Linked DNA regions of Arabidopsis thaliana. The protein of the gene in region 1 interacts with the protein of each later gene in a pairwise test. Each region holds a gene or a part of one and is shown on either strand. Other genes may lie near its edges.

Region 1 (4,458 bases):
TGTTCTCAGGGAGGAATCGGTCACGCGTTGGCGCGTGAGTTCTCGGCTAATGGTTGTCGTGTGGTGGCGACGAGTCGATCGCAGAAGACGATGACTGAATTGGAGAAAGATTCCAAGTTCTTTGTGCAAGAGCTCGATGTTCAGTCTGAGCAGAGCGTGAGTAAAGTTGTGTCGAAAGTTATCGACAAATTTGGTCAGATTGATGTTTTGGTTAATAACGCCGGAGTTCAGTGTATCGGACCTTTGGCGGAGATTCCAATTTCAGCCATGGATTACACCTTCAACACCAATGTGCTCGGTGAATGAAAATTTTCGAGTTACTTCTTATATGCACACCATGTGTTTGTTAAAATTCTTGACTCAACTCTTTCATGTTTTATTTTGCTCTGTTGATTTGGGTTGTGAGAAGTCTCTTCAAGAACTGAACTTTGTAAAGAAACTTTGCAGGTTCCATGAGGATGACTCAAGCTGTTGTACCTCACATGGCGTCTAAGAAAAAGGGAAAGATTGTGAACATAGGAAGTATTAGCATAATGGCACCAGGACCATGGGCTGGGGTTTATACTGCATCAAAAGCTGCTCTTCATGCTCTTACCGACACTTTAAGGTTTTTCGATTTCAGCAGTCTCTTTTCATCAGCTTGATTAATATCATCTAAACAGTAAACACTATCTTGTTTTGTGTTTGTCTAGGTTGGAGCTTAAGCCATTTGGGATTGATGTAATCAACATTGTACCAGGAGGTATTCAATCAAACATAGCTAACTCAGGGATATCGAGTTTCAACAATTTACCTGAATTGAAACTATACAAACCGTTCGAGGACGCTATCCGTGAGAGAGCGTTTCTGTCGCAAAACATAAAGCCGATACCCACAGAGACTTTTGCGAAAGAGACTGTTTCCGTGGTGCTGAAGAAAAACCCACCGGCTTGGTACTCTACAGGTAGGTTATCTACAGTCATGGCGATCATGCACCATATACCGATTTTCATGAAAGATTTTCTGTTGACTAAGAGTTTTATGAAAAAGGGAGTAAAACCTGAATAGTTGTGTTCTTGGTTAGAAACTGTTTTAAATGTATCCAACAAAGTAAATGTGTTGCCTAACCATGTTACATCTTTAGTAAAAGGATTAATCAAGGTACTACTTTGGTAGGGTGTGCAAAAACAAAAACAAAACAGTGGCTAAGCAGAAACTTGGTTATAAACAAAAAAAACAGTGCCTAACCATGTTACATTTATAGTAAAAGATCCAAAAGGCCGAACCAAAACCAAATCGAACTAAAAATGAGTTTTTATTCGATTTTGGTTTGTATAAAACAGGTAAAACTTAATTCGAAACAAGATAAAACCGTAAAGCCAGATTGTCTACTAGACTACCCTTATACTTTGGTTTTTGGTACAAAGATTTGTAGGGGAAATGTCATATCATCTGTGATGCAACTTGCAACCCAACAATGCATCATCAGAGGACAAGATAAAAAGTGGTCAGAGGTTCAATGTAAAGCTTACAGCTAAAACTGAGAAAAGTTTTTTTCCCCTAAAGCTAAGAATGGCATGGATGTCCATCATGTTTAGTGAAAAATCTAATCATTTTATTATTCAGCAAAAATTAAACTTATTGATGCCACATATTTCAGTGTATCACTGTATTGTCATCCTTTTAAAACAAATTAGATTACATTCCAAAATGATAAATTACATTCCAAGTTTATAAGTACGTAAGTTAAAAGATATGTTTTTAAGAAAAGTATATGAACAAAATTGACCTGAAAAAGAAAGCAATAAAACTTTTCAGAATGCATGAACTATGAAAGCCAATTCACATCTGGGTCCACCTATATTAATTTCACAGTCAACATTTTCGATTACTACTAATATGTTCAAGTTTTTAAAAAAAAAATTAATAGTCACTTCGAAAATAAACAAAAGCCAAAAAAAAAAAGTCAGTAGGCCACAAAGTCCTTCAGTTCAGGAGGAAGAAGACGACTCTCCTCTCTTCTCATCTTTCTTCTTCTTCTCAGAAAATCACGAAAGATGAATTCAAATCCCTAATTCCTCTCCATAAAACCCAAAACCCTTTTCAGAAATCAAACTCACCACCAATTCCTGACCGTTGATTTGTCGCAGATGGGTAAAAACGGACGGCTCAGATGGAATCCTTTCAGCCACAGATCGTCTTCTTCAACCTCTTCATCTTCACGACAACAGCAACAAGAACAACAACCTCCGGTCGAATTTCTCTGTCCGATTTCAAAATCAGTAATGTCTGACCCTGTTGTTGTCTCTTCCGGTCAAACCTTCGAACGTGTCTGTGTTCAAGTCTGTCGCGACCTCAACTTTATCCCCAAACTCAACGACGACGAAGAATCTCTACCCGATTTCTCCAACATCATCCCTAACCTAAACATGAAATCAACAATCGATACTTGGTGCGACACCGTCGGCGTCTCACGTCCTCAGCCACCTGATTACTCCACCGTCGAGAGAATTTTACGGCAACAGATGCCTCCACCGGACGTCGAGATTCGTGTCTCCGAGCAAGAGCTTCTCAGAGCTGTAGCTCACCGAGCTCCGATGATAATTCACCACGCTGATTCTGAACTCATGGGAAGGAGAGATTTCAACAACTCCACGACCTCTTCTGATGAATCTGTAATCGTTGCTCACAGTCCATTCACTCCTCTTCCTTTAACAACTAGACCCGCTTGCTTCTCTCCATCTCCATCATCTTCTTCCTCCGAAATCGAAACCCTAACGCACCACACTTTCTTCTCTAATTCTACTTCCACCGCCACAGAAGAGGACGAAGTGATTTACAACAAGCTTAAGAGCAGTGAGATTTTTGATCAAGAGCAAGGTTTGATTATGATGAGGAAGATGACTCGTACTAATGATGAAGCTAGGGTTTCGCTTTGTTCTCCTCGGATTCTTTCTTTGTTGAAGAATATGATTGTTTCGAGATACAGTTTAGTGCAGACGAACGCGTTAGCGTCGCTTGTGAATCTGTCTTTGGATAAGAAGAACAAATTGACGATTGTTCGGTTAGGATTTGTTCCGATTTTGATCGATGTTCTGAAGTCGGGGTCTAGAGAAGCTCAAGAACACGCAGCTGGAACAATCTTTAGTCTTTCTCTTGAAGATGATAATAAAATGCCTATTGGAGTTTTAGGAGCGCTTCAGCCATTGCTTCACGCGTTACGTGCAGCTGAGAGTGATCGGACGCGGCATGATTCGGCTCTCGCGCTTTACCATTTGACGTTGAATCAGACGAATCGATCAAAGCTCGTTAGGCTTGGAGCGGTACCAGCGCTTTTCTCGATGGTTAGGTCCGGTGAATCGGCGAGCAGGGCATTGTTGGTGATCTGTAATTTAGCGTGTTGTAGTGAAGGAAGATCGGCGATGCTTGATGCGAATGCGGTTGCGATTCTTGTAGGGAAGTTAAGGGAGGAGTGGACGGAGGAGCCGACAGAGGCCCGGTCATCGTCATCGGCTCGTGAGAATTGCGTAGCGGCGTTGTTCGCATTGAGCCACGAGAGTCTTCGATTCAAAGGACTAGCGAAGGAGGCGAGAGCAGTGGAAGTGTTGAAGGAAGTGGAAGAGAGAGGAACAGAGAGAGCTAGAGAGAAAGCAAAGAAGATTCTTCAGCTGATGAGAGAAAGAGTGCCGGAGGATGATGAAGAAGATGGCGAAGGATCAATTGATTGGGACCGAGTTATCGACTCCAACGGCTCAATTAGGTCTAGATTCCGAGTTGGTGGTAGAAACAGAGTGGTCACTCAAAACTCCTCTGGCTTCTAAAGTTCCATTCCATTTGTTGTTGTATAGTAGACATTCAAAATGTTTTGTGATTGAAATTTTTTGTAAACTTGACTTGAAATATGTGAGAAAAAAAGCATGACTGATGTATATATATTTTGTACAATATATAAAAGATCCATTTGAAACAAACGCATACTAGATATAAATGTAACGCAGATACACAATAGAAGTCTAACTATGTTACAAAGAAGAAAAATTGACTAAACAGCTCAAGGTACAAGATTTGTAAGACAAAAGATCTCGTTTCTACTTTCTACAATATGCGTTACATGAAATAAAATAAAGTGGGTCAGAAACTATCTAATACTAGAACTAATTGGATTTTTTGGTTTGTTTTTACTAACCTTAAGAATGGTGTGGAGGTCCAAAATACATCATACCCGGTGGATGAAAACTCTGACCTTGTTGCGCTTGTTGCTGAGCTGCATTTGGTTGGTTGTTATTATTCATCATATGCGGCGGCAACGTTCCAGGCGGCGGTGGCGGCAGTGCTCCAGGTGGCATTAATGGAATGTTACCAAATCCATAAGGAAACTGTTGTGATGCGGCTGGATTTGGTATTATGTGATACTGCTGAGGATTTGGAGGAACAACAAATGCATTTGTGTCTGAGGTGTTTGATTTGGTTAGACCAGAA
Region 2 (6,349 bases), on another chromosome or scaffold:
TTTCTCTCTATTGTTGATAATATTTCATTTTCAGCTACATTTTCTTGGTCTTCTTGTTCGCTTTTGAAATATCTATAGACTATGTCACTATAGAATTGAGTCAATGACCTTAAAAGTCGTTAAATTGATAATTATGGTTTTGTAATTTCCTAGTAACTGACTTTTCTTCGTTTACTCCAAAAAAATAATATCCTCAACCATTTGTGTGTGTGTGTACGAGAATAGACAAAATTTCAATGTTGCTGGCGACATACTAAATGTTATATGCAAGAGAATGCTTCACCGATGAATTCATAAAAGTTTAAGGTATATATTCGATTTGTTTCATAAAGTCCTCTGTTGTAATAGCCATAAAGTCCTATGTTCGCTTCCAGTATTGGTCTATTATCAGTAGTATGTACAAAAAGTGAATATTAATCATTACTGAATTCCCACTTAATTGAGTTTCGGTCTCAAACTTCAAATCTTGGAGTGACAACTCCAAATCTTGCATTTTTTTGTCTTTGTCTAAATGTTTTTTTTTTATAATTCTCGCTCTAAATCAAAATCATGTGAAACATGTGGTGAATCTTTTGTCTAAATTAAATTAGATAGAGCAAGATATCGAATCATATATGTAGTAATAAAATCTATTTAGACTTACCTATAAAATGATATGCATGTAAACAGATTGGGCCGTAAGTTACAAATTACCGAGCGTCAATGACCGAGAGAGTGATTTGGTTCACTGTACATTCATCGTCGCGCTGTGTACTTGAAGAAGAATCAGCCTCAAGAGGACTTCTACCAATGCAAAATCCAGGACGTTTAGGCTGAGGAATAGCGGTAGTTTCGCTTCCAAGCATCACCATTACCGAGGACATCACTGGTCTGTCTTCGGCTCGTTCTTGAACACACAAGAGACCAATTTGTATACATCTTAAGATTTCATGTGTCGGGAACTTTGATGACAAAGAATCGATGTTGATCGGATCTACAATCTCTAGCTCGTTTCCTTCCTTCCAATGCCTCCACACCTGTGCATAAAGGATGTAATATTTCTTTAGTGTTATAATCAGATTATGAATGCAAAACAATATCGAATTGAAGAGGTTTTTAGCTTACAAAACCGAGGAGATTAAGATCACGGTTTGAGTTGTAGAATCCTTTGTTTCTTTTTCCACTTATAATCTCTAGAAGCAAGACCCCAAAGCTGAAAACATCCGACTTCATCGAGAATATCCCGTCCATTGCATATTCTGGAGACATGTAGCCGCTGCATAACAAAATATAAACTCATATGTTATGAGGTTTTTAAGAAAATATTTGGACTTGAGATAAAAGCTCTTTTTTTGTTTTGTTGAAGAATGATTGCTTACTAAGTTCCGACCACCCTCCTTGTATTAGCCTCTGTCTCCTCCCGTCCAAAGATCCTCGCCATACCGAAATCCGAGATCTTTGGAGTCATATTTTTATCAAGCAATACGTTACTTGCTTTCAAGTCTCTATGGATAATCCTACACCGTGAATCTTGGTGAAGATATAGAAGTCCTCTAGCAATACCATTGATAATATCAAATCTCTTTTGCCAATTTAAGTTAGAGCTTCGTGTTTGGTCTACACATCCAACACAACCAACAACAAGTTAACGTTTTCACAAAAATGTTCAATTATTAGAACAGAAGCTGTTTGAGTCACTAACCAAAGAGATGCGAGTCAAGGCTTAAATTCTCCAAGTACTCATAGATCAACATCTTCTCACCCTTATCGACGCAACAACCTAGAAGCCGGACAAGGTTTATGTGCTGAAGCTTTGCAATTAATCTAACCTCGTTCATGAACTCATCGGTCCCTTGTGAGGACATTTTCGATAGTCTCTTTACCGCAATTTCTTTTCCGTCAAGTAATCTTCCCTATTACCACACATGTGATTATACAATGAAACCATGTGCTGTGGTAGATTTTCAATATGTTTTGAATCACTTTTACCTTGTAAACAATTCCGAATCCACCTTGTCCAAGCTTGTTGTCGTTAGAAAAATTGTTTGTTGCCGTGGCAAGAGCTTCCAACTCCAACAATGGAAGCTCTAGGTACTCACTTTTTTTTTCTTTGGATGTGTAACCCCTCCTAGATACTACCACATCGTTGATTAGCGAGTCTTGGCTTCTCACTTGATCAACTGTTTCATTCAGGCGTTAAAAAAAAAAAAAACAATCAAGACATTTGATTATCAAAATTTATTGACAAAAATAAAGGAAATGAAAGCTAATGATTTATTTTACCATTAGGTGTTTGAATTGTTATTGATCGCTTCTGCTTCCTTTTCCAAAAATGGAAGATGACAAAACTTAAAAGAAGCAAAATGCTCACTCCAATACTCGAACCTATAATTTTTTCATTTTTGATTCTCTTGTCCTCTGCAATAAAAACGAGGCATATATTTACTTCTATACGAAAAATATCCTTTGTTGTACGTTTGATTAAAAAAAATTAATACGAAAAATAAACAAAATAATTAATTTAACTTAAACAAAAATTCTTTTTGGTATAATGGTATTGGATCTAGCTAAACTCTTATTAATCTTTTGATCTCTAATTAAAAACAGATGACAAAAAAAAAAAACTAAACAAATTGACCAAACATCAAGAATGTACTTTGTTGACCAAAGCCTCTATAGATTAGGGAGTTTGAACTTTGCTTCGAGAGGGACAATATTACATGACTTGGTCCGCAGATTGGGAAGATATATTGACTTTGGGTCATAACTTTTTAATCAAAACAAAAAGTAAGAACCACTTTAGTAAATGCAAATAAGAAAGAAACTAACCGAGTTCAGCAGCGGCTAGTCTAACGTAAAGATCCTGACCTCCCTTAGCATAATTTCGCATATCCAAAATCTCTCTGGTCCAAATCACACAACCAGACCCGCCATTGCGAATATCCGCATTAGCGAACGCAGTGCAATTACAATCTTCTAGACACCTTTCTTTACATACTTTCAACCCAATTTCTCTGTCCACAATTGTCGCCGTGGTATCTGGCAATTTCATCCTCTTCAACCGGGTAAAACCATCTCTACCGTCACAGCTCAGCCTCGTCTTCCTCATGCAACCAGCGGAGCCATCTCTCAAGTCCCACGCTTGCTCATTCACTGGCTTAAACCCTTTGATACAATAACAATTTGGTAAACTGTTCGAGTCGCAATAACCGAAATTCCCGCACACTTTGTAGTTATCGCATAGGTCCTTCGGTGAGTACCATAGTTGCTTCCAACTCTGTGTTGTCTCAAACCAAGTCAATCGTTGTAATAAACCCGCAGAGTTTAAGTATAATCTCGAGTATAAGTTTGTTTTGTTGATTCGGTATGAGTAAGTCACTTCCTCCTTACTTGCTGTGAAATTGTAAACCATGTAATCAACTTGAATTGTCCCTGGTACGCTGCTAAAACGCATTCCATTCCATGGACCGCTGCGGTATAGTATCGACTCCTTGCTGCATATGTAAAACTCAGGGAACTCGCTGGTTTCGAGTTTTGTCGAAAACTCACCGCTTGATGGATCATCTGTTGTTTTCCAGGATCTCAAGATCCTGTTGAATCCGGTTTTCTGATCCCATCCCAATTTCATCTCCGCAAGTAAAGTATCTGTCGGAAAATCGAAACTCTGCCATAGAAGTCTGTTATTGGAGTCTCTGAGCAAGAAATTACCGTTATCAAGAAGCTCTGCAGCCACTGGTGATCTCACATCTCCTCCGGTTATATTCGTCGACCAAACAGGCCTATCGGACTGATCGAAAATGACGAGGTTATTGCCGGATATTTTGAGAGTTCCGTTGGAGCTAGAGAGAGGATTGTCTCTGTTTGCAACCCATACGTAGGTTCTTATAGGGATTATCTTGTACCATATGCCGAGATACCAACGCGAACTTGATGCGGGATTGAAGAAACCGAGCTCGAAGATTTGACTAGGAGATATAATGGTTTTGTTGCTTGAGATAGTGAGAGATTCTGTGGCTGAAAGAGTGTTTGGAGAAACAGAGAAAGCAAGAAACAGAATTAAAATGAGGAAAATGAAGAAAGAATGGTGGTAGTTTGGTACACTTCTCATCTCTCTCTAGGACAGTTTCTCGTGTTCTGTTTTCTTTCTTCTTGAGGGAATTTTATGAGAATTTGAGAATTTTTATCTTCGGAGATTCATATTATTGTTGATGTGTGCCGTTATTTACACGATTACTCTGTATATTACATTGTTGATGATATTTCATTTTCGGCTGTCTTTTCTTGGTTTTCTTGGTTTTCTTGGTCTTCTTGTTCGCATTTGAAATATCTATAGACTCTGTCACTATAGAGTTGACCTAGCAAATGACAAGAAAATAACTCGTTAGATAGACATTTACTTATCAGTGTTTTTGTAATTTTCTTAGTAACTGACCTTTCTTCGTTTACGCAAAAAAGAAACAAATCTCGTCAACACTCCTTATTTGTGTGTGTGTGTGGCCAGGCCTATGCGTGTCTCAGAGAGATATAAAACTAATTTGTGTTTTTCTCGTTATAAATAATCTTTTTTTTTTGGTTTTCTTTCCTTTCCTACGAATATCAATTCATGAAAGAAATTAACTTACACCACCAAGCTTCAACTATTTCATTCGCTAGACAAGTAAATCATTAACCTTAGACTACAAAATGACATTTGTTTGGCAGAGCTTCGTATTCGTAGTGCTGTGTGTACTGGCCATCGCATCATGACCGGTTCAATTCTATCATGGGTTCTAGAACAAAATTGTTTTTTGGCTGCCCTTATAAATTTCTTTTAAAGATTTTACATTATTTAAAAAAAATTGTATGACAGTTCTAATAAAATTTAGTTATTAAAAACAAAAGCAATACACAAAATATTTATGGGCCCTTCTGTTTTATTATTTATAAAATTTAGTTATAAAATTTATTATTTATTACAAATAATGAGACTTGTTACATAAACGATTTTACAACGTACAATTCCTTTAAAGTCACCAAAATATTGTCAATAAATATTAGGTGCAATCATAGGTTGTTGTTATTCTTGATTTGTTTTGTATGATTCTTACTTGTTCAGATCGTATAAACTCATCAATACCACTTGAAGGAGTTATCAATATTTTATTTCCATGCTTTATATTTTTAGAACTTTATCTTTTTATTTTTGCATAGAATTGAGCCATCTCATAACATTTGCTCTTAATTGATGCACTCTCTCTTTAAATGAATCAAGAAATTGTTAACTGCTATATTACCTTCAACATTTTTTTCTAATTCATATATAATTTTGTATTATTGTGTAAAATTTTGTCTTTATAATATTATTTGACATAGATTTTATTTTATGAAAATTTTGTCAATACAAATAATTATTATTAATGTTGAAGACTATGCAAATGCAAAAAAAAATAGAAATAGATTTTAGAATATACTAAATTCTATTGCTTTCTTCTTCTCTAGCTTCTCTCTAAAACATCCACGAACACATCCTCTTTTTTTAAATTAACATTATTGTCATAGCCTTATAGGACTATCTAGTCATGTTTAGCTTATGGCGTAGATAGGCTAGATTGCGAAAGCGTGTAAACCGGTTAAATACGAAACGTAATTACTTTACATAGTAGACCCGTAAGTAAACAAATAACTCAAGAAAGCCCCAAAATTTTACCATTTTAGTTAATTACTTCTTCTCCTCCTTTCCCTCCAAATCCTTACTCATCCATGTCCTTCTAAAAGAAACCTCTGTTCCTGTCTCCCAAAACCAAACCCTTCTTCGTCTCGAAGTAATCAAACTCTGACAACAACAACTCGAATTCAAAGTAAGCGGCTAAAATTTCATTGCATCATCTTCAAATTTCGTTGCCACACGCTCTAATGTTCAAGCCAACGTTAGAATTTAGGGTTTTTCATTGCGAATCTCAAAATCCTAAGACGTTGTTTACCAAAAAGAACAAAGAAGAAAAAACCTTACTTTACCTTTCAATGATCAATGGTTCTCGTAAAAATAGTTCCTTTTGCTTCTCTGTTATAGCCAAAAGTGTAAAGTTCGTACCTTTGAGGGTTCACTTGTTTAATGGGTTTTGTTGCGTTAATCTTTCAGAGTACGAAATCGAGTTTGGTAACTTTAATATAAATGCCGAGAATGCGTATTGAAGGAAGAGATTTAGTCGATCTGGTGCTCTCATGGTCTCTTGACGAAGTTCTCAATGTTGATCTTTATAAAGGACAGGTTCTGTTTTACTTTCTTGTGTTCTCTGTCCCATTTGAGTAAAGAGAAGCTTCCTAGAGAGTAATTTTGTGTGTTTGATTGCTTATAACAGGTGGAGAAGATACCTATGGAGTTTGAATCAAC

Evidence for each region.
Region 2: the proteins of PUB38 (region 1) and RK1 interact in a two-hybrid assay, tested with the Arabidopsis thaliana proteins (one study listed by BioGRID).

Annotation. Positions count from the first base shown.
Region 1 is NC_003076.8:26,047,515-26,051,972, reverse strand, and holds PUB38 (plant U-box 38), read left to right. Parts: upstream 1-1,926; 5' UTR 1,927-2,129; coding exon 2,130-3,800; 3' UTR 3,801-3,908; downstream 3,909-4,458. Other genes in the region: AT5G65205 (NAD(P)-binding Rossmann-fold superfamily protein), read left to right, coding at 1-298, 448-607, 693-1,047; AT5G65180 (ENTH/VHS family protein), read right to left, coding at 4,167-4,458. UniProt on the Arabidopsis thaliana protein: Functions as an E3 ubiquitin ligase.
Region 2 is NC_003070.9:24,466,670-24,473,018, reverse strand, and holds RK1 (receptor kinase 1), read right to left. Parts: upstream 4,238-6,349; 5' UTR 4,088-4,237; coding exon 2,809-4,087; intron 2,398-2,808; coding exon 2,263-2,397; intron 2,160-2,262; coding exon 1,969-2,159; intron 1,893-1,968; coding exon 1,682-1,892; coding exon of another isoform or gene 1,677-1,681; exon of another isoform or gene 1,597-1,676; coding exon 1,359-1,596; intron 1,256-1,358; coding exon 1,105-1,255; intron 1,017-1,104; coding exon 690-1,016; 3' UTR 547-689; downstream 1-546. Other genes in the region: AT1G65780 (P-loop containing nucleoside triphosphate hydrolases superfamily protein), read left to right, coding at 6,131-6,226, 6,318-6,349. UniProt on the Arabidopsis thaliana protein: Involved in the regulation of cellular expansion and differentiation. Mediates subcellular relocalization of PUB9 from nucleus to plasma membrane in a protein-phosphorylation-dependent manner.